Linked DNA regions of Xenopus tropicalis. The protein of the gene in region 1 interacts with the protein of each later gene in a biochemical or structural test. Links are inferred from orthologs where the notes say so. Each region holds a gene or a part of one and is shown on either strand. Other genes may lie near its edges. The genes, in order: ppfia1 and git1.

The links.
Region 2: the proteins of ppfia1 (region 1) and git1 form a complex in vitro, tested with the Homo sapiens proteins (2 studies listed by BioGRID). The link is inferred for Xenopus tropicalis from reciprocal best matches to the Homo sapiens genes PPFIA1 and GIT1.

What each region holds. Positions count from the first base shown.
Region 1 is NC_030680.2:14,493,198-14,497,027, forward strand, and holds part of ppfia1 (liprin-alpha-1), read left to right. Parts: intron 1-2,181; coding exon 2,182-2,445; intron 2,446-3,830. UniProt on the Homo sapiens protein: May regulate the disassembly of focal adhesions. May localize receptor-like tyrosine phosphatases type 2A at specific sites on the plasma membrane, possibly regulating their interaction with the extracellular environment and their association with substrates.
Region 2 is NC_030678.2:32,819,726-32,823,368, forward strand, and holds the end of git1 (ARF GTPase-activating protein GIT1), read left to right. Parts: intron 1-214; coding exon 215-427; 3' UTR 428-3,068; downstream 3,069-3,643. UniProt on the Homo sapiens protein: GTPase-activating protein for ADP ribosylation factor family members, including ARF1.

The DNA.
Region 1 (3,830 bases):
GAAGTTTCCAAATTATGGATAGGCCATCTCTCATAGGCTTCATTTTAATCAAATAGTTCTTATTTTTTTAAAATGATTCCATTTTCTCTGTAATAATAAAACAGTACCTGTACTTGATCCCAACTAAGATATAATTACCCCTTATTGGGGGCAGAACAGTCCTATTGGGTTTATTTAATATTTAAATGGTTTTTAGTAGACTTAAGGTATGGAGATCCAAATTTCAGAAAGATCCTTTACCTGCAAAACCCCAGGTTCCGAGCATTCTAAATAACAGTTCCCATACCTGTACTTGAAGCAGCAGCCAAAAACTATTGCTCTGTGGGTAGACAGATTTATTGTTGTTACTTTTCATAACTTACTTTTCTATTCAGGTCCTTTCCTGAAGTCTCTCATTCAAACCACTCCCTGGTTGCTAAGGTCATTTGTACCCTAGCAACCAGATAGCTGTTGAACTAAAATTGAAAAACTACAGATAATAAAAAAAATGAAGACCAATTGCAAATTCTTAAGTTATTACGCTCTACATCAAACGATCTATGTGTAAAGCATTTTTATTCAGGCTTCCTGTAGCCTTAGGTCTCATTTATTCAAGCATGTTAATTAGCCTTATTATGTTGGACTGAGTGAATTCTATTCCAATTAAAGGTGTGGTGTAATTCATTACTTTTCTGTGTTATACTAAAGCCGGCTATACACCTAAGGTCTGCTTAATTTGGTATAAAGGATCCCCATTAATGGCAGCACAAAGTGCTCCGAGAAGGATTTTATTACATGAAACTCCTTCTGGTGCAGGTCAGGGGCTTCTTTTCATTGTATTAATGCTTTATTGATTTTTTAGTAGACTTAAGATATGGAGATCCAAATTACAGAAAGACCCCTTCTCCTGAGCATTCTGGATAACGGCTCCTATATCTAGAATGCTCAGGAGAAGGGGTCTTTCCGTAATTTGGATCTCCATATCTTAAGTCTACTAAAAAATCAATAAAGCATTAATTAAACCCAACAGGATTATTTTGCATCCAATAAGGATTATTTATATCTAGGTTGGGATCAAATACAATGTTCTATTTTATTATTACAGAGAAAAGGGAATCATTTAACCATTAAATAAACCCAATAGTACTGTTCTGCCCCAATAAGGGGTAATTATATCTTAGTTGGGATCAAGTACAGGTACTGTTTTATTATTACAGAGAAAGGGGAATCATTTAACCATGAAATAAACCCAATAGGGTTGTTCTGCCCCCAATAAGGGGTAATTATATCTTAGTTGGGATCAAGTACAGGTACTGTTTTATTATTACAGAGAAAAGGGAATCATTTAACCATTAAATAACCCCAATAGGACTGTTCTGCCCCAATAAGGGGTAATTATATCTTAGTTGGGATCAAATACAATGTTCTGTTTTATCATTACAGAAAAACGGGAAATCCATTTTAAAAATCTGATTAAAATGGAGTCTATGGGAGACAGGCTTTCCGTAATTCTGGATAATGGATTTCCGGATAACGGATTCCATACCTGTATATAATGGGAAGGTCCCTGATTACCATATATACCTGGCTGTTTTATATTCTCCTAATTACTGGGTTAAAAAAATGTAGCAGAGGCCAAAGCGACAGACCTAAAGAAAAGTGATTCTGCTACATTGTTGCAGGAGTCAGAACCAGAGAAGAGAAAGGAAACAAGCTAGCTCTTTTCTGTAATGTTGTAGATGGGATATCCAATTTAGTTACCTGAAACTACTCTTTTGACTGTCTAAGGGATTGTGTGAGTTGCAGTTCAGCAGCAGCTGTGCGGAGTCTGGTTAGATAACCCTGCTGTGAGTACTGTAAGCAGTCTGGGTGATCTATATGGCTGTCTGTTGTGTAAATATCAGCTTTTACTTCCCTTTTATGCCACGGATTTCAGATCACTCAACACCCATCCCTGCTTTGGTTTTATCAGCTGTTACACAGGGCTGGGTGTTTCTCTAGTCTGACACCTTAGCAGGAAAACATGTCAACACAGCCGTGCAACAGGACCTGGTTCAGAGTTTGTGGCTAAACACGAGCGTGTTCGTTACCTGCTTATTACTGCTTATTGCTTGCTATGTCAGGCGTGGATTTGATCTTATGCCAATGAATGTTCATTAAAGGCGACCAATCGGCTAATTGATTTCTCCTTCCTTTCCACAGATGATGTGTGAAGTGATGCCAACAATTAGCGAGGCTGAGATGCCATCCGGGGGCAATGGAGGCCATGGCTCCGGGTCTCCTTTACAGGCAGACTCCGATTCTCATTTTGAGCAGCTTATGGTGTCCATGTTGGAGGAAAGAGACCGACTGCTCGACACACTGCGGGAAACCCAGGAATCTCTAGCATTGAGCCAGAGCAAGTTCCAGGAAGCCAGCCATGAGCGGGACTCTCTCCAGAGGCAGCTGAACACGGCCCTTCCGCAGGTACAAGGCTTTTTTGGGGTGTTTTTACCCTTTGTATCAGTTTGTATTTGTTTATGTGACTAAATATATGTGTGTGTGTGTATATATCTATTGTTAAAGGGGAACTACAGAAATGTGTTAAAGACACTACACATAAAACCCTAATGTACTTATCACTGTAATCTGTTCCCTTAAAAAGAATGAATAAATTCCATTTTTATATGCTGAAATCCAGGTGCAAAACACTTCCTCTCTTCCTGCATCATCTGAAATCCTTTCAGGGGAGGAGGGACTAAAACACTGATGTTACAAATTGTAACAGCTTACAGACAGTATGCAAAGACTACATTACCCACAATGCATTGCACCGTGATGTTCCTTTCCTTGTTGACATGACTTGTGCAGGGAATTGTGGGATTGTGAGGATACAGGCTGAGAACAGGTGACTACTGTTACATTTTATTTGAGTCTCAAAGTAGTCAGCCAGATCAGCAGGGGAACAGGGGGCGGGGCTTAGGGAACTGTTCCAATCCCTATTATTACATTAGACATTATGAAAAGGCTGCGTATTTTTTTATTCATGTATATTACAAAGTTGCTTCAAATTATGTTTGTTTCGAAAAGTTGTGTTTGGGTGAGTTCCCCTTTAATTGGAAAATCTCACCTGCCTGAAGATAACTGAGGGTCCAGTGTTCTAAAATACCACAGTTTGGGAAGTGCTGTCCTAAAGAGTAGAATACAGAGTAGCAATACTCCAGCCAATAGAACCACTGCCCTACTTTATTGTGATTTTTGTGACTAATGCTGAGCTGGTTGGTCGGTTTGTACCTGTGACTGGTGGGTACTGGGTTCTGAAAGCTTCCCAGTGCTTGTATAGAGCCTGTTATATGTTTGAACTGGGATTGGGAGGACTTTTGTGCATGTCAAGAAGAAGCTGACAAGGCAAGTAACACTGACATTGTGCTTACTGCGTCTTCCTCTGGGCTTCTGCTGATGTGCTGTATTGCATACACTGTACATTGTAGCTGAGCAGATTTTTGTGCTTTAGGCTCTAAATTCTATCCAGCGTGTTCTAGCCAGTGTGTTTTAGAGCTTGTCTGGCAAAGGGTGTTCAGCTGATTCTTCGGCCCATGTATTCAATATCTGGCCGAATACATTGCAAGGGTACCCCTCGTTGATTGGTTTGTTCAGCAGATGCCTTGGCTGGATCATTTTTTGCCTAGTGTGGCCCTTCAGAATATTATAACTGGTGTCTTTTTTGGGGATTTCCTTTACAGATGGAACCTAATGAATTGTACTGGCACATTTATTAAAGTGTGTAAGCCAACATCACAGAGGATGTTGCCCATAGCAACCAATCAGCAATTAGATTTTAACAGTCACCTACAAGTTAGAAAACAAAAGCA
Region 2 (3,643 bases), on another chromosome or scaffold:
ATATATATATATATATATATATATATATATATTAGAAGAACTAAAGAACTAATAAGAGCACAAGTAATCAAGCAATAGAAAATGAGGGCAGAAAAGTATTTGTGTATCTGTGTGGATGTAACTAGTTCCCAGTGATGTAGAAGACATGGATCCCCTATGCAGTTGGCCAGTGACTCTCTAACCTCCACTGTATTTTCTCCTGTGTTTGTGGCAGAAACCTGCCCTGGAGACAGTGCGATCATCACTGCGGCTACTGAACGCTAGCGCCTACCGACTGCAAAGTGAGTGCCGCAAAACCATCCCGCCAGAACCTGGGGCCTCTGTGGACTTCCAACTTCTGACACAGCAGGTCATCCAGTGCGCTTATGACATCGCAAAAGCTGCCAAACAGCTGGTCACCATCACCACCCGCGAGAAGAAGCAGTGACCACTCCAGCAGCCAACTGGCATTTCCATTTCCAAACTGTCAATTTGCAATCAATTTTGCTATCCTTTCATATTTCACACATGACTCCGAGGGGCGGGCACAGCCCGTCACCCCTCTAACCCTAGGAATTGGCTTCCTACATTCCACAATAGCTGGATGAAATGTGCAGCCCCATAACCCCCCTGTATATGTGCAATACTGACCTTGCTCTGTACCATCCTACTGTCTGTACTCTCTGGTTGGACGTTCCTAACAAACGCTAAACGCTGAAGGAATATAATGATTGCAATATAAGTACAGTCCTGTGTGTTCTCCTATTGTAAAGATTTGGGCCTGGGTGAAATTCTCTCCCCATCACTATCATCATATGTAGCAGAACAGAGTATACAGTACAAGTGGTTCTCACAGTACAGGTGGATCAGGTTCCATAATGTACTTGTGTGCAACTGCAGCTAGAATATGTCACCCCAAGCCCCACAGAGCTGTAACCAGCGCCTTTTATTTAAGTTTAAAGGTGCAATCATAGAGTTCCAGAATAGCACAATTTCCTTTTATAGTCTTTCATATTTCCTTGTTCTGATAGTGGTTTGAAGAGACTAATATGTAATCTGTGCTGTAGGATATGACGCGTGTGATTGAAGCTGTGTTGTGGGGCTGCATATTTTGGCACCCTTTAGCTGTGACCAGGCAGCACCCTGAGGCAGGAGGCATCATGACTATGTACTATGCAGCAAATAGACAGCAGCTAAAGGTGCACATTGTATGTTCCCCAGTCTGTTTGCTCTAGAGCAGGGCCCATGCATAGCCTGTGTCAGGCAGCCAATCACATACACTTCCCTGGCACCAAGCAGGGGGCAGCACTCATCCATAGGTGGCAGTTACATGCGCCATGCTGCAAACACTAGGCAAAGCACAAGACTCATGCTGAGCCGGACATGCATTCGCTCCAGCACTAGAGCAGCCAGTCCTTACCATGCAGTGCCGCAGATTGTTATTAATGTGATCAAGGCCAATGCTAAACATACACTGGAATCAATGCGTGTGTATATATATGAATATATACATATAATATTTACTAAGCATTTTTTATGTGAACAGTAGGGGGATTGATGTTGGACGACTGTTAAATAATTGATATGATAACCACTTTAATGTTTTACTCTAAAGAGTAGCACAACGGCAATGCTCAGAGTGGCCAGAAATATAACTTGATGTTTGCACTGACTTCTTAGGCACCCTGTGGCAGACAGGCCCCTACCCTAACCCTGCCTCCTCCCCGGATGTCTATGTATCAAAATCATGTATATTATATATATATATATATATATATATATATATATTGCCTGCTGACGTGAAGTACAATGTAAGGCTCAGTATCCCACTGGCAGTGCTGCTCCAATGGATTTTATGCTTGCCGTATCCTTGGGGCCTGCACTTAGTGTGGGAGTCGCAACATTTTACCTATTGCCGTAAGTAATGTTACCAGTGTCTGCCATAGATACAGCCGCTGGCAGAGACCTTACACTTCTATTGGGTAGAATCCACACACCAACTGAATTTTTTTTTTTTTAAATTAATTTTAAACCCCCACAAGCTGACCAATTATTACCCTGGAAATGACTCATATAATTTGTATCCTGAATTTCACATTCAGATGAAAAATTATCCACTTTCATTAGTAGATTGGCTTTGTAGGAATGCTTGCCTTTGCCAAAACAAGGGATGCCAACCTGTGGCTTTTTCGCTGTAATGGATTGCAGCTCTTGGCAGCCATATTTGATACTGGCAGAGGGCACAGGTTGCACAGTCCCGGTATAATGCCTTATGGAAATCTCTTTACACAGAAGATGGAAATACATAAAAACAAAGCAGCTGTGGCGAGATATAGACCCTGCTGCTGCCAAGTAGAAGTCACTTATATTTTTGGAGATCGTTATGTTTTTGTAAGAAGGGGGCAAAATAAAAAGCTAGATTAAATGGAATAAGAGTGTAGATTCCTCAATTCTCTGTTTCTGTGTGTCACTTTCTGTGCCAAAAAACATGCAAGCAGATGCCCTTTTTTTTTATTATGGCAAGGACTAGTAACGTTGTCTTTTATTCTATGTTAGTGGCCAAAAGTCTATTGCTCTTTACAGCAAATGCCCCTTTGCATTCTTTGGAAAGCCGTAAGGAGCTAAATGGACTGTAAAGGACAGAAAAAGGACCTCATACATGAAGCCATCTTTTCATATTGGCTAGATCTTTCCGGAATAATGTTGCTGTTGGGTTAGCGCCGTAAGGTTAGACTAAAGGTAGTTTGGGCATTGAATGTGAGCAGCGGTCCTGCTGTTCCATCCGCGCGTATCTGCAAGCTTTGTTCTTACACAGTAGGCAAAATGATTGTACTTCTTACAAGATGCTCCCAGAAGCCACTACATGAGAGGGACCCGCTGCCACCCACTGATCTTGCTGGGGATTTGTATTTTAAAAAACCTGCTGCTCAGAATCTCTCAGCTCCCCCCTTGCCGTACTTGTTCATACAGATTAGTGCAAAATGGCCGACCTTCTCCATCCTGTTATTTGTGAGAGCTTGGTGGTGGGTGTAATGTATAAAATTGCTCATATTGTACATTTGTATCAAATTAAACAACTAACAATGGAATGTGTCCCATGGAGTCTGTTATAAGCTGAATTCTTGGAGATTGATCTCTTGGATGGTATTGGTGAAATAAATGGATAAATTGCATTTCACCACATGCCAGTCTGATGGAAAAGTTTGGGTCTAGCAGATGCCAGGGGAACACTACCTGCCTGAATGCATCATGCCAATTGGAAATGGTTGGTGGAGGAGGAGTAATGGTCTGGGGCTGATTTGTTGGTTTTGGCTAGGTCTCTGTTCCAATTATAGAAAACCTAACTCTACAGGTGAATATAGACATTCTAGACCAGTGCTGTCCAACTTCTGCGGTGCCGATGGCCGGAATTTCTCTTGCATACATGGTGGAGGGCCGCTAATGGAAGCCAGTTTTGGCCACGCCCCCGTTTTAAACCACACCCACTTCAAACCACACCCATTTTATCACAATGGGATATCAACCATCATTCATATGTTAAAGAATTATGTCATATTAAGACACACCCTTACATCCATATGCCTCCTCCTCCCCTGTGGATAGCACAGCAACCCCCAGCATATAATTACACACCTTAGGGACCATTTAATGGCTATTTCCAACT